Linked DNA regions of Sus scrofa. The protein of the gene in region 1 interacts with the protein of each later gene in a pairwise test. Links are inferred from orthologs where the notes say so. Each region holds a gene or a part of one and is shown in the gene's direction. Other genes may lie near its edges. The genes, in order: NUTM1, MORN4, RIC8A, ZNF277, FAM161A, ZMYND10 and SAMD4A.

Region 1 (3,500 bases):
TATGTTCTCCCACAGCTGGTACTGTCAGGTTTGCCTGATCCAGTCTGTAACCAGTCTTTAACCTGATCCAGGCTGCTGCCCTTACAAATGGGGGTGAGAGGCAGAAGCCGTGGTCTCCGTGCCACTCCCCATGTCTCCTTCCCTCCTTGACCCTCAGTGTACATTCCCAAGAAGGCTGCGTCCAAGGCACGGGCTCCCCGCAGGCGGCAGCGCAAAGCCCAGAGGCCTCCGGCTGTGGAGGCACCCAAGGAGATCCCAGAAGAAGCTGTGAAGGAGTATGCCGACATCATGGATGGGCTGGTGGGGAGTCACGCCGCCACCGAGGAGTCAGATGGAAAACAGGAAGAGCAAGAGCAGCAGCGGGAGGAAGGGATGTATCCAGACGCAGGCCTCCTGACGTACATTGATGAGCTCTGTTCTCAGGAGGTGTTTGTCTCCAAGGTGGGCTGGGCCTGGGCACCTGTTTTCTAGTAGATCTGGGGTGGGAACCCCAGGGAACCAAAGATCTTGGCTTCTGACCCAGGCAGTTAGGAACTACTCTTTCCCATGCTGAGGAACCTGTGTGCATATATGAATGTGTGTAGCTGATGGTTCATAACAACCCAGGGAAAGGGTGTGAGTGGGGGGGGGGGTACATAGCTTTTCTAGAGCCTCCTGGTTCGGACCTCCTGTTAAGGACTCACATCACTTCTCCTTCCGTTCCCCAGGTGGAGGCTGTCATTCACCCTCGATTTTTGGCAGATCTGCTGTCCCCAGAACAACAGAGGGATCCATTGGCCTTAATTGAGGAGCTGGAGCAAGAAGAAGGACTCAGTTTTTCCCAGGTAAGCCTGGAGGCAGAGAATCAGGACAAGAAGCTCGCATGACTTTATCCGGCCCTATGTTGCCTTGGATGGTATGGCTTCTGGGGATGACAGTTTCAGCATTCAGCTTTGGGTGCCCAACAAGTAGGCAAGGGACCACGGAAAAGGGGAGAGTGAGGGCTCAAAGCATGGGAATAAGACCCAAGAATGTGTTAAAAGAGCTATGGTATCTGGCTTTGATACTCTCACTTAAGCCACTTGTTTGCATTCCCTACCCTGCCCAAGAACCATCTCCTTCTCACACCGTCAGCCAGCCTCCCCTTTTCACTACCACATTTAGAACAGTATCCGTCCACTCTCCTTCTAGCTGGTCCAGAAGCGGCTCCTGGCCTTGGAAGAGGAGGAGGCAGAGGCACCTCCAAGTTGCAGTGGAGCCCAATCGGACTCAAGTCCTTCTGTTTCTGATGAGGATGAAGTGGGGGGTGGGCGGCTTCGGCCCTCACCTGGGCCTCGGGTGGCTGGGGGCACCATTTGCCTTGAAAAGGCTGCTTTTCCAGGGAAGAGGGCAAGAGAAGTGCCTGGTGGGCAGGAGTGGGCCCTAGATGGTCTGAGGGGGACGAGCAAGAATGGGAACACTCTGCCATCCCCCCGTGGCTGGGACCTGCAGCTAGAACTTGCAGCTCCACAGGGAACTCAAGGGCCCCTGGGTATGAAGAGACGATCTGGGAAGGTTACAAACCCCATACTCCCCCATCAGGATGCCCATCTGGGAGGTGCCGGATCCCCTGGGCACTCCCTGGTGGCTGAAGGGACTTCTGAGGCTCTGCCCCTTTGCTGGCAGGAAGGGCCCCAGCTTGAGCTAGTTCCCAGTATGGATGCTGGACTTGCAGGGCTGGCTCCTCTGCAAGGACAGGAGTTAGCAAAGCAGGCTCTGGTGCTGCAAACAGGACAACAGATAGGGGATCTTGGAGTAGTTCCTCAGGGGAAGGAGCAGTTAGCAGGGCCCCAGGAAGGGTCTTCAGGGACCAAGTGGGCAGATGACAGAGGTCCTCCCGCAGCTCAGAGTTATGATCAGAACCCTTCCCCCAGGGCAGCCGAGGACAGGGACAGGGCCTCTCTCAGTCCAGGGCTTTGGCTGAGCAATGAGATGGATGCAATAGGCTTGGAGTTGCCCTTACAAATCGAGGAGGTCATAGAGGCATTTCATGATGGGGAATGTGTAACTGAGTGCCAGGGGAACTGCCAGGCACTGGGCTCCAGAAGCAACATTTCTCTGGGTCCTGGAGAAAGCACAGCACCTGGGGATGTGGGAAGCAGTATAGTTCCCTGTGGAGGCACAGACACCACAACTGCCCTCGAGGAGATAAACTACTGCAGCTTGTCAGAATCTCTGAGGGCCAACAGCTCAGCCTCAAGGCCTAAAGAAAACAAAGAACAGAGCCCCAAAACCATACAGGATTCCAGTGATATGTGGGCTGAAGTTTGCCTTCCACTGTTAGAAAGGAGAATGGGGGCTTCCAGAGAAACCCTCCTGCCTGCAAATCAAGGCAGTATCCTTCTCCTGGGGACCCAAGATAACTCCTTCCCTGAGGCCAGCCCTGAGGCAGGAAGCAGAGGCAATTCCATTTCTTCTCTGCTGGAAGCCACAGAACATGTCAGCATACTAGATGTGAAAGATGGCCGTGGCCTCCAGCTTAGGGTCAGGGAGGTTACCTGCACACTAAGTTTTAATTCTCGTGACCCCCAAGGAGAGGGCAGAGATGATACTGACTTATCTGAGCCTAAAGACCTTGCTCCCTTGCCAGGAGGTCAAGGGTCTAATGCACACGGGGCCCCCAAATCAACATCCCCTCACCAGGGCCTTCGAGACACTCTCCCTATGTGGGGAAGCAGGGACACCTTAGTTCTGAGAGAAGCAGCTCCTGTCACTGAGACGTGCAGTTCAGCAGATGGGGCCAGAGCGAAGGAGAAAGGGGTGGAGGAAGATGAAGAACTCTCCAACTTTGCCTACCTCTTGGCCTCTAAACTGAGCCTCTTGCCCAGGGCACCTCCTGGCAGTCCTCGCCCTGACTCAGGGGGCCGGGGGACCCAGAGAGCATCGTACTCCCTTGCTCCTGAGCCAAGGGGCATCGGCCAGGCTCCCCATCCTGTCGCCAAGCCTGGGAAGCGAGCTCTAGTTGGAAGCTTGGTGCCTGCTGAAAAGAGGCCCTTCCCTGGAGCTGAACTTGGGGCACCTGGGGAGAAGCCCCAGGCTCTGGGAGCAGCTCGAGCCTCACAGCCTCGTAAGAGAAGAAGGGATAGCTTTGTGACTGGCAGGAGGAAGAAACGACGTCGCAGCCAGTAGGGAGCAGCAGGACCACCTGTTCCACCTGCCTATCCCCTGGAGACTAGCCCCAATAGACACTTGTTCTCAGCCCTTTGTTGTTTTCTGGTTCTGCCAAAGTGGTGAGCGTGGGGAGGGAGGGCACAGGGCTAGGCTGGAGGTGGTGCCCATGGTGAGCGGTCCAGGGAAAGTTACCTTTGCAAGTTGTATGGAGAAAAAGCTAACATGAATAAAAGATTTTGTTGTTGGAAAATGTTCTCAATGTGCCCTTTTGTACTCATGTCTTCGCTGCTAGATGCGATAAGATGCCGAGAAGAAAGGAGGTGAGGTAGCCTTGGACTAGATGTATCCAGAAGCCTTCCCAGCCTTCAGCC
Region 2 (4,250 bases), on another chromosome or scaffold:
GAGCACTTAGAATGTGAGATACAGTACTGAGCATTTTGTATTGTATTTTCATACAAGTGTCAGGGAGACTATGTCATTATTACTATTAACATCCTATTCTGGGAGTTCCCATTGTGGCTCATCGGGTTTATGAACCCTGGACGAGTATCCACGAGGATGTGGGTTTGATTCCTGGCCTTGCTCAGTGGGTTAAGGCTCTGGCATGGCTGTGACTGTGAGCTGTGGCCTAGGTCGAAGTTGAGGCTGGGATCATGCGTTGCTGTAGCATAGGCTGGCAGCTACAGCTCCGATTGGATCCCTAGCCTGGGAACTTCCATATGCTGCAGGTGCAGCCCTTAAAAAAGCAAAAAACAAAACAAAACAAAAAACCCTATTCGACAGACTAGGAAATCCCAATTCAGCAAAATAATTTGCTTACTCTCTTTGTAGGCTTGTCTTCTCTTAAAAATTAATTATAGGAGTTCCCGTTGTGGATCAGCAGAAACGAATCCGACTAGGATCCATGGATGTAGGTTTGAACCCTGGCCTCTCTCAGTGAGTCTGGGGTTCAGTGTTGCAGGTGAATTGTGGTGAGGGTCCAGAAGTGGCTCGGATCCGGCATTACTGTGCCTACAGCGTAGGCTGGCAGCTGCAGCTCTGATTCCACCCCTCGCCTGAAAACTTCCATATGCCACCGGTGCAGCTCTAAAAAAACAAAAAAACAAAACAAAACACCACAATTAATTATTGTCTTGAATTTTTCCGTGTGCATGAATATTTTCTTCTCCATAGCTAGGCAGTAAATCCTAGGAGAGCGGTAATCATTTCTATTCCAGCCTGGCAGGACCTGGCATCACGCTGCATTCGCATTGCTCGGTAAGTAAACATATGGATAAACCGGTTGGTGTGCATGGTTATTGGGAGGATTTGCTCCAATCTTGGAGCAAACTGTATTTTAAATACAAAGGATATGAGTAATGACACCACCACCATAAATCCCTATAATGAGTGCAAAAAAAAGTGCCCTGATATCACAGTGCTGGCACAGGGTTGACACTCATTAAACTGTAGTTGCCCCGTCTTGCGCTTTACAGTTTACAAAACTGCACCTCAAAAGCCGATTTGGGGTTCTGTCCTTCAGCTCCGCGGAGGTGCCATTAACAACTGTGCAGATCTAAGTGGGATCCGAGCCGCTGGAGTTGGTCACTGTTACGTCCGACACAGGTCTGGTTTTGTTTGGTTGGGGGTTAACATTTCGGCTAGGGTGCCTCTAGGCAGGCAAGACCTGAGTTCTATGGGTGGATGAGGTGGGACCTTAGGTCAGCCCCACCCTTCTTTAGGATGTTCCGCCAGGGGCTCCCTAGACACTCCGCCCCACACAAAGATGGCGCGGAGCCCGGGCTGGACCAATGGAAAGTGGCGTTGCTCCCAGTTGCCTAGGTAACAGCCAATGGGCCGCGGGAATTGTGCTCGGTGCGGCTGCAGGGGATGGCGGCGTCAAGTCGGGCGGGCACTGGAGGTGGTGGCGGAGAGGCAGGTGGCAGGGGCGAGCCCGGCGGAGCGGAGGTCCGGGCCTCTGGAGCCCCGCGTCGGGGCGAGACGGTCATCCCGGAAGGTTGAGCCCAGGTTGGCTGGCCGCGCGGGTGGGAGGGAGTCAGGGGAATGTGGTCGGGGAGGAAGGCACTGAGGGGCCCATCCTGAGATGACAGCGGCTGTGAAGCGCGGCTCCATCCTGGAGTGGGGGCGGTGGCTCTTCGAGGGTCCCAAACCTGGGCCTCCCGTCTCCACCGCGGGGTCCGAGGCCCGAGAGAGCCCACGGCGTCCAGGATGGTGAGTGGGGTAGGTGGGGGCTATATGAGGAGGGGATGCCATACCTGTGTGAGTGGAAGACCCCGCCCGCACGGGAGTGCTGACCCAGGGTGGAGAGAAGGAGCGGCGCTGGAAGGCAAGAACCGGATGGGAGAAGAAATGGGGAGGTGGACGGGGAATTGTTGCCTTGTTGCAATCTAGGGCTTTGTTGGCTCCGGCCCGCCTCTGTCACACTCTGGTGGAGAGACGTCCCCAACACACGTCGAGGCTTGGAAAATGGGATGCTTCAATCAGGTAGTTGATGGTGCTATCCCTACTGTCTGGCAACTCCAAATTGTTTTGGTACCAGCGGGAGTCATTCGGCTCTGTTAGAACCCGGCCCAGGCATTTTACTTTCTCATGAAATAGAATAGTGTCTATTCTACTGTCCCGGCAGTCCTTCTCATCCAAAGACGTCTGGGGTTTTTTATTTGGTTTGTTTTGTTTTGACCTTTCTGTTGTCAGGATTTTCTTCCCACTTTCTTCCATCAAACTGTCCCACTGTATTCCCGCTGACTTTTATCTAGTGGCCATACATTTGTTTACTTTTCCAGTCCAAGGAAGAATGAGTGAAAGAGACTCACAGACTCATAACAAGGACAGTTATTTTAGGCTCACTTAAAATACTTTAAAAAGAACACTTGACCTCTTGTTCTGGGTTCCTTACAAGCCTGATCTTTGTTCATTAAAGCCTTCAGTTTCTTCTTTTTAGGATTCTAAAAGCCTAAGAGCTTTTATAATTGAAAGAACTTTGACAAGATTGTCATACCCTGAGGAGGGTGGCTTTAAGGGGACACTGTGAAGGTATATGTAGATAGTAGATGCCTCCAAAAAATATTCTTAAATTGAAAATCTTTTCCCCTTTATGTTAGGTTTTTTAATCCTCTGAATTTGGAAACAGGTTACCGGGAATGCATAAATGTTTTTTAACCAGTTTGATTTCTGAAATAAAAAAAAAAAAGGCAAATGGAATGAAAACAAAAGGTCTCTTTACTGTCTTTGAGTTCTATTTGGAAATGTCTGGGGCAGGAGAACATAAAGATGGTATGGATATAGTCTGTTGTGTAGACTGATAGTGTGTTGGCTTACAGGGATAAAATAGTTATTTTCTTTTAGATAAATGTTTGGATTGATCCTTTGCAATCTGTCTATCAAGAGAGAGAAAGGGTGGACATCTGTCTAGAAGCATGAATTGTCTTGGCTTTGTAACTAGATTCCACATGTATATCTGAAGCCTAAACTCCTAGGCCATCTCTTCTCTTTGAAAAAAAAAAGGTGTTTTTTGTTGTTGTTGTTCTTTTTTTTACTGCACCAGCGGCATGCAAAAGTTCCAGGGCTAGGGATCAAACCAGTGCCACAGTAGCCACCTGAACCATGGCAGTGGTGTGTTGCTGGATCCCCAACCCACCGAGCCAGTAGGGAACTCCTTTGAAAAGATTTTTTGAGTGGCTGATAAAAATACTGACTTGCATCCCTTATTCAATTACTGGGTTTTTAAAAAATCTTCATCAGCACAGCTACATATATATATATATATATATATATATATAGTCTTTTTGCCTTTTCTAGGGCCGCTTCTGCAGCATATGGAGGTTCCCAGGCTAGGAGTTGAATTGGAGCTGTAGCCACTGGCCTACACCAGAGCCACAGCAACGTGGGATCCGAGCCGCATCTGCAACCCACACCACAGCTCACAGCAACACCGGATCCTTAACCCACTGAGCAAGGGCAGGGATCGAACCTGCAACCTCATGGTTCCTAGTCGGAGTTGTTAACCACTGCGCCATGAAGGGAACTCCACAGCTATACTTTTTTAAACTAGATTTGTCTTAGTGATCATGGTTACTAATGAAGTTCTTTTTTTGGGTCAGTGGCTACACAGCTATTAATTAGCATGGCTAATTACAAAAGTCATAAATGAAAACCCTGACGCTGTCTCAGGCAATGCCAATATCAATTATTTGGACGCACATTGACGTTTCTAGTCTAATGTGTTCCACCGAGGCCTGAGACCCATGGAGTATACATGTGTTTCCTTTCATTAGCACATCTGATTGTGCTCTTGGGAATGGATATCATTTTGACAAGCAAGTGTTGAAGTTTTTGTTTTGTTTGTTTTGTTTTTTGTCTTTTTTTTTAGGGCCGCACCTGCGGCATATGGAGGTTCCCAGGGAAGGGGTCTATTCAGAGCCGTAGCCACCGGCCTACTCCAGAGCCACAGCAACGCCAGGTCTTAGCTGCATCTTGGACCTACACCACAACTCACGGCAATGCTGGATTCTTAACCCACTGAGGGAGGCCAGGGATTGAATGTGCACCTTCATGGTTCCTAGTTGGATTCATTTCCGCTGCACCACGACAGGAACTCCGCAAGTGTTGAAGTTTGCTGTATTTCCCTGGAACAAAAAGAAATGGGAATTTGC
Region 3 (4,204 bases), on another chromosome or scaffold:
CGCGGCCATTCCTGCCGAAGGCGGTGTCAAATCCTAACTGGAAAGAGCTCACGGCCCTTTCTCAGGCGAGAGAGGCTCCTCGCGGCGACACGGCCCGGGGTCCGAGGCCCGCCCGGCTGCGGTGCGGTTAAGGCGAGGACTCGGTGTGAAGCACGCTCCAGATGCTGCCGGCGGGATAAAGAGGGGATCAGTGCCTGGAACAAGCGAGCGCTGCAAAAATCTCAGGGATGAAGCACTTGAAGGAAAACGGGAAATCAGGAAGAAGAGTGGGAGCGTGAGGGGAGTTAGGGGCAGGAGGAGCCGGTGCTGCGACCTTGCACCCGGGCACTGACAAGGGGTCTGGCACAAAATAGATGCTCAACAAAGGCTTGTTGCGCAGTGGGTGGAGTATATGTTATTCACCCACTGTAATGGAGCATTCACTCTGTGTCGTTTAGTGCTGACAACCCACCGAAATGGGACCTTTTATCATCTCTGCTTTTCAAAAGAGGGAACTGGGTCCAGGCCAGAAGATGTGTCTGCTTACACAGCCAGGAAGTCCCTGCACATGATCAGGCTTTGCCTTCATCCTGACCTGGACCTTCCCTCCCCACTCTCCCCTGTCTCTCAGCCCCAACAATGATCTCTTTCTCCTACAACGGCCATTCCCACCTTTACTCTGCCGGCTCCTTCGGCCTTGAATGAACTTCCCCCACATCCCTTCCTGGCTCACTTCTTCCTCTGGTCTCAGCAAAAGCGACACTTATTCAAATCCCCTTGGAGCCCATCAGGCCCCTTTTTCAATCACAGCACTATGACTGCTTAAAGTCTTCCCGTTTTCCCGTTTTTGTTTTCACCTCTGCAATATAAGCTCCACGAAGGCAAGGACCTGTGGGTTCTGTTCACCCACATCCTGGTTCCTTGCATGCTGTAGGCCCTCAAACGCCTGCTTAATAAACAAAGTGGTCCCGGGGCTGCAAAGTCCTTTCCACTTCGTCTTTCCTCGGAACATCTCATTCGTTCTGTACATCAAGAGGGGTGTAGTGTGCGTGTAATAGCGGGGTGAGAAGCTAAGGCCCTCTCCCGTAGGGAATTCACTGCTCGGAGCCGGAGCGATTCAGGCCCGTGGTCGGATAACCACTGAGTCGGACACTGAAAGGCAACGTGACTAGACATCAAAGCCTTTAAATTCCCGAGGGCTCTTCTAGGCCTCTCCACTTTAAGGCGCGCGCAGCCCGGGCCCCCGCCCCGCGCGGCGCCGCGCGCAGCCCGGGCCCCCGCCCCGCGCGGCGCCGCGCGCAGCCCGGGCCCCCGCCCCGCGCGGCGCCGCGCGCAGCCCGGGCCCCCGCCCCGCGCGGCGCCGCGCGCAGCCCGGGCCCCCGCCCCGCGCGGCGCCGCGCGCAGCCCGGGCCCCCGCCCGCGCGGCGCCGCGCACGCCCCTTCCCGGCCTCCCCCGCGCGCCGAGCTAGGGCCGGGCGGGCCGTCTGGGGCCCAGAGCCTTGGAGCGAGGTACCTTCCGCTTCCTCGGGCCGGGGTCCCGGGAGCGCCATGGAGCCTCGGGCGGTAGTGGATGCTATAGAGACGGGGGAGGAGGACGTGGTTATGGAGGCTCTGCGCGCCTACAACCGGGAGGTGAGCGGGAGCTATGGACGTGGGACGCGCAGGGAGGAGGTGGGGCTGGGTGGGTCCCGCGCGCGTGGCCGGCGGGGAGGGTGTGAGTGGTGAGCGTGGCGGAAGGCTGAGGGTGTTGGCGAGCACGGCGGGGAGGGGCACCGAGTCTTTGAAGAGTTGCTGGGGGTGCCGTGGGGAAAGGGAGCCCTGTCTATTGAGAGCGGTGTCTGCGGCCTTGGAGCTCGGATTCTGCTTCGGTGGACCTGTGCCTCCTAATCTTCTGGGTCTGTTTGCAGAACTCCCAGAGCTTCACGTTTGACGATGCCCAACAGGAGGACAGGAAGGTGGGTGCTTATCAAGGGTAAAGGGGCAGGGACGGGTGGCCCAGGTAGAGGAGCCTGATGGAACCGCTCTATTCCCCTGCCCACAGAGACTGGCGGAGCTGCTGGTCTCAGTCCTGGAGCAGGGCTTGTCACCTTCCCGCCGAGTCATCTGGCTGCAGAGCATCCGCATCCTGTCGAGGGACCGCAGCTGCCTGGACTCGTTCACCAGCCGCCAGAGCCTGCAAGCGCTTGCCTGCTATGCTGGCATCTCTGCTTCGAAGGGGTCGTGTCCTGAGACTCTGGACATGGATGTTGTGCTCGAGTCCCTTAAGTGCCTGTGCAACCTCGTGCTGAGCAGCTCCGTGGCACAGGTGCTCGCCGCAGAGGCGGGGCTAGTGGTGAGGCTCGCAGAGCGAGTGAGACTGTACCGCCAGAGCAGCTTCCCGCATGACGTCCAGTTCTTTGACTTGCGCCTCCTCTTCTTGCTAACGGCGCTTCGCACTGATGTGCGCAGGCAGCTGTTTGAGGAGCTGCAGGGAGTGCACCTGCTGACCGAGGCACTGGAGCTGACGCTGGGAATGACCCCTGGAGAGGGACCCCCGGAACTCCTTCCTTCCCAGGAGACCGAACGGGCCATGGAGATCCTCAAAGTGCTTTTCAACATCACCTTCGACTCCATCAAGAGGGAGGTGGATGAGGTGAGGGCTGGCCTCAGCCTTCGGTTGGGCTTAACAACTAGGATGCTTCCGGGACCTGCCTCTCTGCCAGGTACCCTCAAGTTTCTGGGTGTCGGACCAGGAGGACATCTGCACAGCAGCGCTTGTCAGGAGGAGGCAGGGAGGTGCCCGTTCCGTATAAGGGCATCGAGGAATCAGAGCGCGTATCTGGCTCTTGCAACACCAGGAGTGCTGTGTGGTGTGGGGGCAGGCTGTAGGAGATTCTTCGGGGGGCGGGGGGCGAGAGCACAGAGTGACTTCATCCCAAAGGGACCTGTTGATGTCCCTAACCACGAGAGTGCTCTTAAGGTCACATAAGTGAGGCTGAGCAGCCAGGTGTGGTGGAGGAGATGCATGGCCTGCATGAGGTCTGGCCGTGGGCCAGGCAGTAGATGTTCAGCAGGCAGCAGTGGGGGTGAGTGGCACTTTCTCTCACAGGCACCCCTTTCTCTTTGGTCAGGAAGACACTGCACTTTACCGGCACCTGGGGACCCTGCTGCGGCACTGTGTGATGGTCACTGCTGCTGGAGACCGCACAGAGGAGTTCCACGGGTGAGGGTGGTGCCTGTTGGGCACACCGGGGCGGGCGTCTGCTCTCAGGTCTATATGGTGGTTTCCAGCCCTAAAGAGAGAGTTTTCATCCAACTGGGTGGGACCAGGCATTGGTGTGTTTCCACAGAGCTGCAGCACTTAGAACACACAGCTAGGACAAGAATTGTGAGCTCAGGACAGAATGTGCCACTGGACCTTGAACACTGTGGTATCCATAGAGCAGTGTGGTTGTCACTTTCATTTTCTGTGACCTATGCCTGGGCGGGTCCCAATTTGGACTACCTGTTGTTTCGACCCAGGTGTGTGGGAGGTGGGATGTCTGCAAGGAGGGCCTCCCTCTGCTCTGGTACTTGGTGCTACTCAGGCCCCTGATACTGGTTCGGGTCATGTGTGATCCCAGCAGGGGGCAACAAGAGTTGCGCCTGTGCTGGGGGCCTGGGTTTACCCAGCCCTCCTTTCCATGTGTCCCCAGCCACACAGTGAACCTCCTGGGGAACTTGCCCCTCAAGTGTCTGGATGTCCTTCTCACCCTGGAGCCACACGAAGGCTCCCTGGAGTTCCTGGGAGTGAACATGGATGTGATTCATGCCCTCCTCAGTTTCCTGGAGAAGCGTCTGCACCAGGTGGGCAGGAGGCCCTGCTATGGCTCTGGCCCAGGCTTTCCCAGGCAGCTGTGGGCGCTGCTTTTGTGCAGTCTGCACTGGTAAGGGGAGATCAGCTCCCCAGTGGGATTCAGGCAATGCCTCCAGCTGCTCCAAGGTCCAGCCAGGCAGGAAGCCAGAATGTCCTCCTTGAAATGTAGGCAGACTTTTTGATACAAACAGAAGCAGGTTTTCAGAGACTAGCAAAGTATTTGTTTTTAGGTCTCTTTGTGGATCTTCTTGAGGGGGACCAAGAAGCCGCTGGTCCCTGCTTGTGATGCTAGACTCGCAGTGTCGCTCTACACAAGCAGCTCTTGGTGATGAGCAGCGGCTGTCCTTTGGTCTCTCTAAAGGGACCCACAGGATCTTCCAGGCAGAGGCT
Region 4 (3,500 bases), on another chromosome or scaffold:
GTGTTTTCAGCCTAAAAGGATTCCCTGTTATTTATCCTCTTTTTATTGAAAGATGTCCAGCCTCTTGTCTCTCCTGGGATTTTGATTTTCCTTGTTTAGGAATGACAAGAGGTTGACAGTATCTCAAAAAATAAATGCAAGGAGGGGGGAAATAATAAAAAAGGGCCCTGTATGTCTTTTGATTTCTCCGTCTACCGTGAAATTTAACACTTGCCCCATTTAAAACGATCAGTATTTCCCCATGGAAGATACACAGCTTGCCTTTTAAAAATACACCCTTTGTCATGCAGAAACCCACTCCCAGCACTGCACCTCACAGCAAGCGGCACTTAGTGCTGTGGTTAATGAGAGAGAGCATCACATCCACTGACATGGCTCCTCTGCAAATTAAGCTGCTTGTCTCAGAAAGACATTGAGCTGATTCTGCAGTGAAATAGCTGCTCAGATAGAGAGGCACATATAAGAAGATATGGCTGCACCTGTTTGCTGTTTATATTAATTTCATGGTGCTGCTTTGAATTTCAAAAGCTGTATCAAAAAGTCATAATATGATATACAAAATACCAGAATTGAAAGAGACTGGTGGGGTTTCCTAGGGGGAAGAAATACTAAGTCACTGTGCAAGACGCCTCCTAAATGAAGGGAATCTCCATGTTTGCTGTTTTCTTTTTAACACAGTGACTGGTCTGATTGGGAGGAACACCCTATCTCTGCTGTCTGCCTGTTTTGTGAAAAGCAAGCAGAAACAATTGAGAAGTTATGTGTCCACATGAAGGTAAGATATTTTATTCATTTGATTTTGTTGTGTTCTGACAGGGACAAGCTGATAATGACTGCAAACTCAACATTTTATACCTTTAGTTTTCCAAACATTTTATTTATTTATTTATTTATTTTGTCTTTTTGCTATTTCTTTGGGCCGCTCCCGCGGCACATGGAGGTTCCCAGGCTAGGGGTCGAATTGGAGCCGTGGCTGCCAGCCTACGCCAGAGCCACAGCAACGCGGGATCCGAGCCGCGTCTGCAACCCACACCACAGCTCGCGGCAACGCCGGATCGTTAACCCACTGAGCGAGGGCAGGGACCAAACCCGCAACCTCATGGTTCCTAGTTGGATTCGTCAACCACTGCGCCACGACGGGAACTCCCCCAAACATTTTCTCCTTCTGATTGTGCTATAAGCAAAACAGAAGAGACAGGGAGGGTCCAAAAAGGAGAACCAGAGCAAATGGCCTTCAGTACAGTTGACCGGACCTGGGTGAACTGTTCGGGATTTCACAAACCGCTGAGGCCTTCCCACCTTTGAGATGCTAATGAGATAGTTCTAGCTTAGAGGTGGGATCTGCAGCCACCATTAACAGTACCCAGGAATCTTTTTCCAGTGAATACGGAGGTCTGGGCGAGAGAGAACGTTGTCATTTGCAAAGCCCTTGGGGGAAATGGGGGTGGGGGAAGCATGGAGGTGGAGAGGGTATAGGATGTGGTCTTGCAGCTCCTTCAACTACAAGGATCTGGAGAGAAGAAATTTGAGGACATTTCCAGTTTGTGCCTTTCCTTCTAGACGCTATCTTCCTATTACGTTGAGAGTAGAGTTGAGTGTGATAGAAAAATATTACCAGGAGTTCCTGTCGTGGCTTAGTGGTTAACAAATCTGACTAGGAACCATGAGGTTGCGGGTTCGATCCCTGCCCTTGCTCAGTGGGTTAACGATCCGGCGTTGCCGTGAGCTGTGGTGTAGGTTGCAGACGCGGCTCGGATCCTGCGTTGCTGTGGCTCTGGCGTAGGCCGGTGGCTACAGCTCCGATTGGACCCCTAGCCTGGGAACCTCCATATGCCGCCGGAGCGGCCCAAGAAATAGCAACAACAACAACAACAACAACAAAAGACAAAAAGACAAAAGACAAAAAAAAAAAAAAAAAAGAAAAATATTACCAGATGATTCTGATGTACCCCTCCCCCACTCAGTTCTGCAGTAGTGGAGCGGAGGCTCCAGGTCCACCCACTTCACTCCATTCTTATCCATAAACACTGTTCTTAGTTCAGTAAACAAGGACCTGGAAGATGTTTAAAGGGCTGTGGGCATTTCCTTGTGAAAGCAGAGAATCAGTTTGTCTGAAACAGGTTGCCACTAGTATGTGTGTATTATGAATGCAGTTCATAATAACCTTGTATCTTCGAAAGGAAAGGAGCCTTAGTACCCCTATCCTGTATAAGAATTCCCTTTGCAGCATCCTTGACTGGTGTCAGCCTCTTCTCAGTCACTTTCAGTGATAAGATCATGGAATTCTTAATTATGCTGCCTATGGTGCTATACTGAATGCCTTCACAGGGAGTTAGATGGTGTTTATGTATGCTCTGTAAGTTTGTAAGTTGAAACATTTACCCATGTGGACAATTGCAGGAATGGAACAGAATAAAAGTAAGTCTGGACATCATAACAATCAAATCACATGTAATTTGTGGGAAGATATGAGTGAAGAGAAACTTACGGGTTTAAACACTGTATTTGACAGCATAAGACAAAAAGCATAATTTTAAAAATTACCTATCTGCTTGTGGAGCAAAGGGCCTGTATTCATAAATCTAGTCCAGACACAACACAGTAGGGCCACATCTTACATAGAGACTGAGACACTTTTGTCAGACTGCAGAATGCATACAGAGTAAATTGTAAAAACTGTAGATAGAAGCTGTGAACAATTAAAATGTTTTAACTGATTGACATGACTTGTTTAGACTGTGCTTTAAAAAGCAGTTGGATGTAGGGGGAAGCAGTTAAATTTCGAAGACTTCAAAAGCAGATGATCTGAGACTGAGTTTCTACAGTGTTCAAACTCCTGTGAATGAGCTGTCTGTTTATAAATTCAGCCTGAAAGATTAAATAATTTATATGCTCACAGATATATTCATTCCTTTTTTTAGGATGCACATGAATTTGATCTTCTCAAAATAAAGTCAGAACTTGGTAAGTCTGATTTGGAAGTTGTTTTCCATGATGCTGCATTTTTCTATACACCATCCCATAACAGTGCCTGTGTTCCACAGTCATGACTGGAGAGCACACAGCCAAAATGTGTCTCTCCACAGATGGTCTCTGCAGAACTGCCTGAACCACTGATTCACAGCCCTTTTAAACTACAATTTTTAAATGTGGTTTTTTATTTCATATAGTATTTCTTCTTCTTTCCTACATATCTGATTGCTTCAAATAAAATACAAGTTAATGATTAATATATATGATAAAGTGGGGGGGGAGCTAGTGGAAAAGACATGGATTTTGAAGTGAGACAAGAGTGCATATTCCAGCTTCAGCACTTACTGGCTGTGTGATGTTGGGCCTCAGGTCAACAGAATATTACAGAGAGTGGATAATATATATATAAAAAACCTACTGCACGGCTTGGTAGTGTAGCTAGAGTGTTTATTATATATTAAACCAGCTGGATCACTATGATAGATTAGAGGCATGAAGACGAAAAGTACTGACTTGCTAATGTGTCT
Region 5 (3,500 bases), on another chromosome or scaffold:
TATCATGATGTAGTCAAGCAAAATGAGGAACGGAGGAGGTCTATGAGGGAGAAATACAAAGAAGCTCTTTTGGCCTCACAAAGGCCGTTTAAGTTTATGGCAAGAGAGGAACAGAAGCAAGCAATTCGTGAAAAGCAGCTAAAAGACTTTTTTAAGTCTAAAAAGAAAACAAATCGATTCAAAGCCAGACCTGTCCCTCTATCTACTTATGGTTCAACTGTCAAAGACAAGTTAACAGAAGATGAGTTTTATAGAAACATTAGGACACAGCGGAGAGCCCAAGAGTTATTACAAAATTCATCCCCTCTGCCTTGCAGTCCAGCTCGCAGAAGTTTTGCTGCAAGGAAGCCCAGGTGTCCTGAACAGGCTGAAAGGTCAAAGTATAAACACAAAGTTAGGTGCCAGACTGCTGACTCTGAAGACCTTCCTGAGGGATATCAGAAATACCACTCGGAACAGAAATGTCCCAAACTCCTAACAGTCTGTGAACCGTCTGACCTTCATACAGCCTCACATGCCTCCACTAAAAGAGAGAAAATTCTGGCAGACATTGAAGCAGATGAAGAAAATTTAAAAGAAACACGTTGGCCTTATCTTTCTCCAAGGCACAAATCACCAGTAAGAAGTATGAATGCAAAGCCTGCATCTTGTAGCTACAACCCTCCAATGCCCACAGTGTCCTCTAGGGGAAGAGAGCAAGCCACAAGGTAAATAAGCGATGCGGTACTGATTCATGGTTGCTATTGCTTTTGTACGTGGAATTCGAAAATGTGAAGTTATTATATCTGGTAACATACTTTACTGTGTAATATAGAACATTTGCCAAAGGGTGTTCTTCTAAGAAGTGATATATTTTCCATTTTATGAATCTTTGGGAATAGAAATGGTTATAGTCAGCCTATTGATTTCTAATTTTACAAGTCAGATCCTTCTCAAAAGGTTGCCCCTTTTTTTCAACCTTTGAATTATCCTGTGTTAAATCTTTGCTAAACAACATTCTCATTGGCTTAAAGTGAATTAAGCCTTAGTTTGTTGCCCTCAGGAGATCACTTGAGGAAAAGAAAATGTTGGAAGAAGAGAGAAATCGGATCCTAACTAAGCAGAAGCAAAGAATGAAAGAATTGCAGAAACTTCTGACAACCCGGGCTAAGGCTTATGACTCACATCAAAGTCTAGCTCAGATGTCTAAATCCAGAGTAAAATCTCTCAGGTATCACGAGAGAGTCCTGACCCTCCAGATCATTGGTTTTCAAACTTTTTTTAATCAGTGGACCCAATATGTGAACAGATTAAGCATAGTGTTAGTATTTCAGTTTCTGGATCCAAGTTACCATCAGTTACTTAGAGTTAACTTACACACTCACCCTCACTCCTTTCCTTCATGGTAAGAACAACATGTATACTCACCCCATGGTGAGGACCATGATGCCATGTTGATGAACATTTTATATTGTGGCCATAGTTCATGGTTGTAATCTTCTATCAGCGTCTAAACCTTTTCATTATATTATTATTGCACAGTACGGTACTGAGAAAAATCTTGATTCACACAGAGCTCTCTCTCTTTTTTTTAACAGCTTGCCATGTAATCTCAGAATATTCGTCCATACAAAGATATGTCAGAGAGCTTTGTTCTAAGTTCTGCCCAAAATCTGATAGCACAAATTAACACACTGATGTTAATTCACAGTTATGTGATGGGTCAGTTGACATGTGTTAATGTTTAGGGGTATGTGTTACATATTGGAATTCTACAGTACAAAGTTTGAAAATCAGTGCTCCAGAGGAACATTTTTATGTTGCAGCATAAAAATGTTCATATTTAAGTAGGAAAATATCTCCCCCAAAGCTGGGTAAGTAATATGATGTATTAATTTTTGGTATGATTTATAAGTACCCCACAAATCTATATTTGTTTTAAATTATGAGTATTCTTTCTTAAATGTATATTATATATAGTAATTATATTCCTTTATAATGTATATTATGTATATATTTCTTATAACGTATATCAATGTAATTCATTGACAAAAGGAGCTTGATTTGATGAACTTGAGCAAAATATTTGTTTTTTGTTTGTTTGTTTGTTTTTTGGTCTTTTTGTTTTTTTAGGGCCGCACCAGAGGCATATGGAGGTTCCCAAGCTAGGGGTCTAATTGGAGGTGTAGCTGCCAGCCTATGCCACAGGTCACAGCAACACTGGATCCTTAACCCACTGAGTGGGGCCAGGGATTGAACCCACAACCTGATGGTTCCTAGTTGGATTCATTTCCGCTGAGCCACGATGGGAACTCCTGAGCAAAATATTCTTTTTTTTTTTTTTAGGGCCACACCCACAGTATAGGGAGGTTTCCAGGCTAGGGGTCGAATGGGGGCTATAGTGCTGGCCTTCACCACAGCCACAGCAATGCCAGATCTGAGCCGTGTCTGCGACCTATACCACAGCTCACAGCAACACCAGATCCTCAACCCACTGAGTGAGGCCAGGGATCAAACCTGTGTCCTCATGGTTACTAGTCAAATTTGTTTCTGCTGAGCCACAATGGGAACTCCAAGAAAGATATTCTTTAGAAATATTTACTTATTCATGCTTAGAAAGTAAATTGCATTTTCCATAATACTAAAAATTAGGCATAATTATTACTTTATTGTAGAATTATTTTTATTAATCCATGAAGTCTTATGATCTTGGTGGAGTTAGTATATTTTACAAAGAGAAAAATAGTGTAATTTAATTCATTATAGGATCTTGTTGTAAAAGTGCACTTACTGTGAATTGATGTATCTTGGTTCCTGTTCCTCTATAAGTTGTACTCCCATAATCCCCACTTCTCTGCTGCCCTGCTCCCATTTAATTATTTAACTTTGCCACCAACCTATAGGCGATCTCATTTAGGGAAAAACAAGAGAGCGAGGTCCTGTTTTCAGAAGAAATTCCTTAAAGAAAATATATCTAATTTAGACTAAGTTTTCTTGGTTTTATATACTTATAAATGAAATAGAGGGCATTCATTTATCTCCTCAGGGTAGTTTGAAGCCCCTTAATACATTATGTTTTGAAAATTTCAGAAACTTCAAAGTACCCAAACTGTTCCTGGAATAAAAAAAAATACATGCTCTGAGAATGTAGGATTTTTATTCTGCATTCCATAAACATTTACCAGTCTAGAAAAGAAATTATGATAAACTGTGCTCATAATTTCTGATTTTTCATCTAAGCTAAATGTTATGTGTGCAAGTTCTTATTTCTTTTAAAAATTCCATTCCTTTTATTTGATTTTAGAAAGAGTGAAAAGGAAAGGATGAGAGAATATCGGCAAGAACTAGAAGAAAGAGAAGAAAAATTAAAAAACAGGCCGCTGCTATTTGAAAGAGTTGCTCAGGTTGTGTTTGTTGGAATTTAAGAGCTATTGTCAACTTTTTTTTTTTTTAAAACATCTCTAGCTCCTAATTTTTATAGTCCATTCTCCTATGTATTATATAATTTACCGAGACATTAT
Region 6 (3,943 bases), on another chromosome or scaffold:
GCTGAGGTAGGATTAGGGCAGGGTGGCCAAGCCAAGGCCGCTGACCTTTCCTCCACTACACCACCCAGGCATGAGCTACCAAGAGCTGGATGAACGGCTGGAAAACGACCCCAACATCATCATCTGCTGGAAGTGAGGCTGATGGGAGCTAAACTAGGCACACGGCTATGGCTGCTCTCTCCAGCTAAGCCCTGCCTGGTGCATGAGGAATAGAGCAGCAAACTAGGCCATACGGTCTCAAGGTTGACCCCCATTTCTGTAAATAAAGTAATGTATTTCAACTTACCATTATTGAGTACCGACTCTGAGGCAGCCACCAGAGAGAAGTGGCAACTATCAGTGAAGGAGATGACCATCGCCCTGGCGCCCTGGAACGCCATCTGGTGGTCAGGATCGATAATGGGCATGTGAAAGTGCCTACTAATTATAAACTGAGGAAGAGGAGATGAAAAGTTGAGTGGGGACGGGTGCTGGGGCTGCTCTGGATTAGAGGGGCAAGGAAGGCCTGGCTGAACTGACTTAAACTGAACCCCGAAGGAGGAAAAGTATTTCAGGCAGAAGTAACACTGCAAAAGCCCTGAAGCAAAAGCCACTTTGGGATGTATGAGGAAGTTAAGGGAGGCCCATGGGGCTGGAACATAAAAAGCAAAAGGGGCAAGAAACGAAGGCCCAAGGTAGCAGAGGGGGCAAGAGCCTGATTCTGCAGAGCTGTTGGTAAACTGCCTTTGACATAATATTTTGACGGCCAGGGGCAGCCAGACTCACCATGTACGTCTTTAAAAGACTAGCTACTCAGGAAAGGTCAAGAGTGGAAGTGGTTCAGTAAAAAAGCCATAGTAGTTACCTCATGAGAGGTGATGGCAGCCTGGACTAGGATGGAGAGAAGTGAGCCCTGCGCAGTATTTCGCGGGTAGTGGAGCTGGACACGAGAGATTACTGCAATGAGGCCACAGACCAGCGGCAGGGAGAGCTGATGAGGTCCGGCCGACCTGATGTCCATCCAAGGAGGGAGCCTAGGCCACAAGACTGGGAATTAGGGACCCGTGAGCCGCAGCCGGCTGTAAGGCAAAGTGGAGGGTTGCCACCCTACCCCGAAACACTGCAGGCGGGGGCGGGGCCTAGGCCGCATTGCGCATGCGCCGTGCTAACGGTTTCCATGGCTGCAAAGACGCACACTTCCCAACCGCTCCGCAACTGCAGGATCCCAGACTTGGGCCCCGCCGGAGACCGTGGTCCCCCAGAGTGTCAGCACCCCTACCTCAGAGCCGGCTGTTGCCCGCTGTCAGCTGGACCCCGCCTTCCTGCCCTCTGTAACCTTGGGCCGCCGACATGGGCGACCTGGAGCTACTGTTGCCCGGGGAGGCTGACGTACTAGTGCGGGGACTGCGCAGCTTCCAGATCCGCGAGATGGGCTCCGGAGGGTGAGGCAGCTGGATCCTGGGGCAGGCGGAGTCATGGGGTCAGAGTCTTTGAGTGGGAGAGGGTAGCCCTGACCTTGGGGGGAGGGGTTGCCCAGCGTGGAAGGGCCCCCAGGTGGGGAGGTAAAGCTCTTAGAGACTGAGGGGGCGGGGGCGTATATGGTCCTGCGCTACATCGGACGCCTCAGGATCGGGGTTAGGCTTCAACAGAACCCAGCCCCCACCCCCACTGCACACACGTGCATCCACATGCACACACACCCTCTGTGGGGCAGATGGAACCAGCAGCATGAGAATCTGGAGAAACTGAACATGCAGGCCATCCTTGATGCCACCGCTAGCCAGGGCGAACCCATCCAGGAGCTCCTTGTCACCCATGGGAAGGTATGCTGGAATCACAGACAGGGTTCCTGCCTTCTCACCACCACCCACCCCACCACTCTACACCTCAGGGGTAACTTGGGTGCCTGTGCTTCCCTCTGGCTGGCACACCTGTCCTCCCTAAAGGAGAAGGAATAGTGTATTATTACAATTTGATTTTACAGCCCTATGGGACAGGACCCTAGCATGCCAGGCAGGGTAGAGGGCGTGGGTTGATTAGGGAGATAGTCCTGGATCCTAGAACACCCTAGGCTGTAGGGAGAGGTCCCAAGTTCTAAAGCCTTTCCTGAATAGACTGACAGACTGGAGGAGGTCCCCACTGAAGTGAGGGTGAGACTTTGGCATGGAAGGAGGCAACCTTCCCAAAACGAGAGAGGGAGTTAGAAACCAGAGATTGGCTCAGCTGGAACATGTGCCAGGTGATGGTACAGTAAATGACCTGAGATAGCACCTGACAGCAAGGTTCCTCTGCAAGGAAAACTTCTACTGGGGGCAGGGGGAGGCTAGGAATAGGGCACTGTGAGGGGGATGCTGAGTAAGAGTGAGGCCAAGGCACAGAAAAGCAGTGAGGCCAGAGGACAAGGACAAGAGGGAAGGCATGAGCAGGAGGGCATGAGCTGAGAGGTACACCTGAATAGAGAAGGAGGGGATAAGGGCTTAGATGCAGGGGGAGCTTGGCATCCTGGGGACAAGGCAAGGGCCAGTCATAAGACACCAGATGCCCTCACAGAGATACTGGGGGCAGCTAGAAATGGAGCGCTAAGGTGCAGAAGAGAGGTCGGGAAGGAATTTGTGGGGTGTGTGAGAGTCTACGGGCCCAGGGGAGTTTGACAAGAGCTGGGCTGGGCTGAGCCAGGAACAGGAAAGTTGCCAGGCCAAGGCAGGCCCGTCTCATCCCTGTATTAACCCCCTCACCCCAAAGATCCCCACGCTGGTGGAGGAGCTGATTGCAGTGGAGATGTGGAAGCAGAAGGTGTTCCCTGTGCTGTGCAAGCTGGAGGACTTCAAGCCCCAGAATACTTTTCCCATATACATGGTGGTGAGCTGGGCCATTGGTTCATACCCCTGTTCAGCCCCTCAGAGGGACCCAGACTAGAGAAGGAAGCTGGTAGCCCCTATCCCTCTTCCAGCAGCCCAGGGTCCTGTTCTCCTCTTTAACTGACAGATACACCACGAAGCCTCCATCATCAACCTCCTGGAGACAGTGTTCTTCCACAAGGTGAGGCACCCGCCCTGCCCACTGGCTACTGCCCCAGGCCAGAGCCTGGCAGCAAGGGGGGTTGTATCTGTGTGGGAAGGGCATCAGAGACAGAATGTTCCCCTCCTCCTGACCCCCAGGAGGTGTGTGAATCAGCAGAGGACACTGTCTTGGACCTTGTGGACTACTGCCACCGCAAACTAACTTTGTTGGTGGCCCATTGTGGCCATGATGGCCCCTCAGAGGAAGAGGAGTCCCAGTACAGCACCCCCATGCAGGTGGGCTGAGGTTCCCTAGGATTGGCAAGGGCTAGACCCAGGCTCCCCCAGGTCTAAGCAGGCAAGAAGATGGCCCACCTTGAACGCCGTGTGTCCCACCCCCCAACTCAGGAACTACAAAAGCAGGCAGAGCTGATGGAATTTGAGATTGCACTGAAGGCCCTCTCGGTGCTGCGCTACATTACAGACTGTGTGGACAGGTGGGCAGCCCTACCAGGTCTGGGGCCTGAAATGGAGGGCTGGGAGCCTGGGCTTGTAGTTTCTCCTTACCTTTCTATCTCTGTCCCTAGCCTTTCCCTGAGCACCTTGAGCCGCATGCTCAGCACCCACAACCTACCCTGTCTCCTGGTGGAATTGCTGGAGCATAGTCCCTGGAGCCGGCAGGAAGGAGGTAAGGTCCTCTTCCATCTGCCTAAGCCCCAGCCCACTGCTTCCAGGACATCCTCCAGGATTGACAGGGGGGCAGCTTGCACACAAGCAGACAAACTCTGCCCCCTTGCCCACAGAGAATACCAGAATGCCTCACCTAAAGTGGGCCTAGGGAGTTCCCTAGTGGCCTAGCAGTTAAAAATCTGGCATTTTCAGAGTTTCCGTTGTGGCTCAGAGGGTAAAGAACCGAACATAGTATCCATGAGGATGCAGGTGCAATCCCTGGCCTCACTTAGTGG
Region 7 (3,500 bases), on another chromosome or scaffold:
CAAAAAATGTGTGTGACTCGGTTTACTGAGATCATGGATTTATTGCAGTGGTCTGGAACCAAATCGGCATTATCTCCAAGGTGTACCTGTGTGGCACACATATTCTATTATACGTTCTTCTCTCTATAATGATCCTTCTAAAACATGTCACTCCCCTGCTCCCTGACCTCTCACTTCTTGAAGAAGAATTTCTGGCCTCCCTGCTGACTCCTAATGCAGGCCTCCTTGCTCCTGGCTCTCATTTCCCCTTCTCTCCCCTCCTCTACCCTACCCCCCCACACCCCCTTTGCTGTTGCTCCCTCATTCCAGGCATGTACCCACCTCAGTGACTTTGCCCTCATGGTGCCCTCTATCTGGAGCATGCTTTCCCAGGAGCCTGCAGCCCATGCTCAGTTGAGTTCCAGCTCCAATGTCGCCCCTCAGCTAGCCTCCCCTCCCACAGCCCTGACCTGGGCCTCAAGGTGAATATTCATCTTGTGCTAGGATGCACCCTCCCTGAGGGAACCCTAATGGCTTTCCAGCCACATCCCCATACCTAGTCCGGGGGGCAGCTGGGCAGAGCACCCAAAACATACTTATTAATGTAGCAAAGAAGCGCATGATACAGAAACCTTCAGCTTTGCAAATAGGAACATCATCACAACCACCTCTATGAGGCAGGTCCTGCGGTTATCTTCCTGTCATCCACAGGGAAACTGAGGCACAGAGGGGTTAAGTCATTTACCCAAAGCCACACAGCAGTGTCAGAAGTCAAACCCAGGCATCTGTCCTAGAGTCTGTGTTTTTACCCACTGCCTGTGTTGCCTGTGTCATGGGCTGAGTGAGGGCGTGAATGATCAGGTTCCTTCATCTAAACCACATCACATACAGGACAGAAAACCACCATGTGACCCTGTATAACTTTGTTATCCAGCTTCCATAATGTGTGAATGTAAACTATAAAAATGCATTTTTAAGAAAGGCACTGAGGAAGCCAGGGAAGGAAACGCACCCAAATCATTTCAGTGATCATCTCTGAGTAGTGAGATCTTCAGGTGATGTATTTTCCTCGCTACCTCTACCTGTGTGTATTTCCCAGTTTTCTACCTGGGCTAACATTAGAGTGATAAATTTTAAATGCTCACTCTTGAGAGAACGTTCTAATGAAGGGGTCAGCAGCCGTGGGCCCTGTCTGGGGACAGCTCCGGCAGAGGAAGGGAGGCTGGAGTGGGCCACCTGGATCCTGACCCTAACGGAGGTCCTCTTCCCTCTGACCACCCAGGACATCATCGAAGGCGGCAACCTGCGCACCCCGCTCCAGGAGCTGCACCAGATGATCCTGACTCCCATCAAGGCCTACAGCTCCCCGACCACCACTCCCGAGGCTCGCCGCCGGGAGCCCCAGGCCCCACACCCGCCTTCGCTCATGGGCCCGGAGAGCCAGAGCCCTGACTGCAAAGACAGTGCCACGGCCGCCGGAGCCACTGCCACTGCCTCGGCCGGGGCCAGCGGCGGGCTCCAGCCGCACCAGCTGAGCACTTGTGATGGGGAGCTGGCTGTCACCCCCCTGCCAGAGGGGGACCTCCCCGGGCAGTTCACACGTGTCATGGGGAAAGGTAGGTAGAGCCCGATCTTCCAGCCTCTCAGCACCACTGACCAGAGCTACCAGTTCCCAAGGGGCTTCCCCTGGGTGCTGGGTGATCTGCCAGGGTACAACATGTCAGTAGCCCATTTTAGAGATGAGGAAAGTGTGGCTCAGAGAAGTTAAGGCATTTACATCTGAATTCGGAGCTCTCTGACCCCTGAACCCTCCTCCTTAATCCTGGCTCCCTTCTGTCCCACTCCTTCAGACCAGGGTCTGCTGGGCCCTCCTGGTGGAGTGCTCACTGGGCCATTGGACCCTCAGGCTAAAGGCAGCCTGCCCACGGCCCACACAAGTTACCATGGCCACGCTGTGTGTCTACAGGGCAGCCTAGAATTCCCACGTGGTTCTTGGGTAAGAGCCCCTTTTTGCCTGTGCCTGCCCTGTGTCAGACCCTCATGGAGGTATCCTTGACCATGTCTGACACTAGAATAATTTGTGCCGGATGAGGATGAAAGCTTCACAAGAAATCTTGATTAGTTAAAAACATGTGCTGAACGCCAGTAATTTTCCTTTGGGAAGGGGAAACAATTTTTGTCTTTTCTGGTGTCCAGGGTTTCAGATCATTTTAAGGAACTGGGTTCTAAACAAACAAACAAAAAAAGATACCTGAGTTGTACAGAGGCAGTGAAAAACTCCCTGTGATACATGTCCATAAAAAGACTTAAATCTATAGAAATCAAATAAATTATAATATGAATTCATGTTCATCCTTAAAAAAAAAAAAATCAGAGCTAACTAAAATGGTAAAAGGTAAAAAAAAAATAGTACCCATTGTCTCCTAGGCCCTGCTGTCTTCTTACTAAGAGGTAACCATGATAAAAGGTTCAGAATACCCCCTCAGAAACATCCTTGTTACACACTAACAAGTCTCGTTTAAATATTTCTTTGCAACTTTCTTTTTTTACATTATATGCTTTCAGTATTTCTATTAATACAAACATTCCAACTCATTCTTCCTTACAGGCTGCATACTCTTCCCCTGTGTGCATAAACCGTAATTTAATAGGGGTCCCCACAAATGGACACCTCAGAGGTGGTTTCCATGTTTTGTTGTGCTGGAGAAATGCTATACTGAAACATATATATATTGGTTCAACAATGCTATACTGGAAATTTAGGTGCCAAGACATAGTATAAATAGGATTCTGGGACAGATTGGTTTTGCAGGATTAGGGACAGTAATCCTAAGCTTGGCCTGCCTGATGGTGAGGCATTTTGACTTCTAATTGACATCTTTGTCCAGCAGTCTCCACCTGGCCTTCTAAACATTCCCATCAAAATCAGAGCATCAGGAGCTCTGGGGTGAGAAGAGAATGGGCTGCACTAGTGTGGCCATGGGCTCGCTGTGGGGGTGTGTCCTCTGCCCACAGACGAGCTCTGCTCTGGCTTTGTGAGAACTCATCTGAGTGGGTAGGTGAACCTATGCAGGTGTAAATGAGTGCATTGTTTTTGAGAAAGTCACCCTCGATGACGGAGCAGCAGGCTCCCTGCTCATGGTCCTGCCCACGAAACCTCACGCCCTAAACGATGTGCCGCCTCGCTCTTCCAAGTGAGACGGCTCATTCATAAAGTCACAGCGACAGCTCTCTGATAAGGACTGATGGTCTTTAAGGCCTTTGAACTCCCTCTCCAAAGGAGCCCCTTGCAAAGACAGAGCTCGGAACACTGCTGCGTTCTTCCTCTCCCAGAGTGTCTGTCTCAGCCGGGTTGCAGAAGGCTTAATATAGAATGGTATGCGTGGAATTAACCAAAGGGGCTTCCGAAGGCGAGGGCTCCTGCAGTGACCAAGCCTTTGACTTCAGTGGAATGAAGAGCCTCCTGGCCTTTTTTGTGAACCTGACGTAAAGCTGCAGTCATACATACCTCTCAAAATATT

What was found.
Region 2: the proteins of NUTM1 (region 1) and MORN4 interact in binary tests that used the Homo sapiens proteins (3 or more experiments, as listed by UniProt). The two-hybrid records come from large-scale screens. The link is inferred for Sus scrofa from reciprocal best matches to the Homo sapiens genes NUTM1 and MORN4.
Region 3: the proteins of NUTM1 (region 1) and RIC8A interact in binary tests that used the Homo sapiens proteins (3 or more experiments, as listed by UniProt). The link is inferred for Sus scrofa from reciprocal best matches to the Homo sapiens genes NUTM1 and RIC8A.
Region 4: the proteins of NUTM1 (region 1) and ZNF277 interact in a two-hybrid assay, tested with the Homo sapiens proteins (2 studies listed by BioGRID). The two-hybrid records come from large-scale screens. The link is inferred for Sus scrofa from reciprocal best matches to the Homo sapiens genes NUTM1 and ZNF277.
Region 5: the proteins of NUTM1 (region 1) and FAM161A interact in binary tests that used the Homo sapiens proteins (3 or more experiments, as listed by UniProt). The two-hybrid records come from large-scale screens. The link is inferred for Sus scrofa from reciprocal best matches to the Homo sapiens genes NUTM1 and FAM161A.
Region 6: the proteins of NUTM1 (region 1) and ZMYND10 interact in binary tests that used the Homo sapiens proteins (3 or more experiments, as listed by UniProt). The two-hybrid records come from large-scale screens. The link is inferred for Sus scrofa from reciprocal best matches to the Homo sapiens genes NUTM1 and ZMYND10.
Region 7: the proteins of NUTM1 (region 1) and SAMD4A interact in binary tests that used the Homo sapiens proteins (3 or more experiments, as listed by UniProt). The two-hybrid records come from large-scale screens. The link is inferred for Sus scrofa from reciprocal best matches to the Homo sapiens genes NUTM1 and SAMD4A.

Annotation. Positions count from the first base shown.
Region 1 is NC_010449.5:80,149,498-80,152,997, reverse strand, and holds the end of NUTM1 (NUT family member 1), read left to right. Parts: exon of another isoform or gene 1-157; coding exon 158-441; exon of another isoform or gene 442-707; coding exon 708-824; exon of another isoform or gene 825-1,170; coding exon 1,171-3,147; 3' UTR 3,148-3,234; downstream 3,235-3,500. UniProt on the Homo sapiens protein: Plays a role in the regulation of proliferation. Regulates TERT expression by modulating SP1 binding to TERT promoter binding sites.
Region 2 is NC_010456.5:108,996,811-109,001,060, reverse strand, and holds the start of MORN4 (MORN repeat-containing protein 4), read left to right. Parts: upstream 1-1,450; 5' UTR 1,451-1,605; intron 1,606-1,624; exon of another isoform or gene 1,625-1,809; intron 1,810-1,989; 5' UTR 1,990-2,069; coding exon 2,070-2,082; intron 2,083-4,250. UniProt on the Homo sapiens protein: Plays a role in promoting axonal degeneration following neuronal injury by toxic insult or trauma.
Region 3 is NC_010444.4:30,767-34,970, forward strand, and holds the start of RIC8A (synembryn-A), read left to right. Parts: upstream 1-1,404; 5' UTR 1,405-1,527; coding exon 1,528-1,611; intron 1,612-1,886; coding exon 1,887-1,934; intron 1,935-2,020; coding exon 2,021-2,611; intron 2,612-3,089; coding exon 3,090-3,181; intron 3,182-3,653; coding exon 3,654-3,804; intron 3,805-4,204.
Region 4 is NC_010460.4:33,315,107-33,318,606, reverse strand, and holds part of ZNF277 (zinc finger protein 277), read left to right. Parts: intron 1-678; coding exon 679-775; intron 776-2,921; coding exon 2,922-2,964; intron 2,965-3,500. UniProt on the Homo sapiens protein: Probable transcription factor. Involved in modulation of cellular senescence; represses transcription of the tumor suppressor gene INK4A/ARF, perhaps acting via the Polycomb group (PcG) complex PRC1.
Region 5 is NC_010445.4:79,966,198-79,969,697, forward strand, and holds part of FAM161A (protein FAM161A), read left to right. Parts: coding exon 1-707; intron 708-1,042; coding exon 1,043-1,210; intron 1,211-3,283; coding exon 3,284-3,383; intron 3,384-3,500. UniProt on the Homo sapiens protein: Involved in ciliogenesis.
Region 6 is NC_010455.5:32,827,238-32,831,180, reverse strand, and holds the start of ZMYND10 (zinc finger MYND domain-containing protein 10), read left to right. Parts: upstream 1-1,143; 5' UTR 1,144-1,329; coding exon 1,330-1,421; intron 1,422-1,693; coding exon 1,694-1,802; intron 1,803-2,721; coding exon 2,722-2,838; intron 2,839-2,964; coding exon 2,965-3,018; intron 3,019-3,137; coding exon 3,138-3,275; intron 3,276-3,386; coding exon 3,387-3,475; intron 3,476-3,565; coding exon 3,566-3,666; intron 3,667-3,943. Other genes in the region: NPRL2 (nitrogen permease regulator 2-like protein), read left to right, coding at 69-136. UniProt on the Homo sapiens protein: Plays a role in axonemal structure organization and motility. Involved in axonemal pre-assembly of inner and outer dynein arms (IDA and ODA, respectively) for proper axoneme building for cilia motility.
Region 7 is NC_010443.5:184,107,337-184,110,836, forward strand, and holds part of SAMD4A (protein Smaug homolog 1), read left to right. Parts: intron 1-1,261; coding exon 1,262-1,595; intron 1,596-3,500. UniProt on the Homo sapiens protein: Acts as a translational repressor of SRE-containing messengers.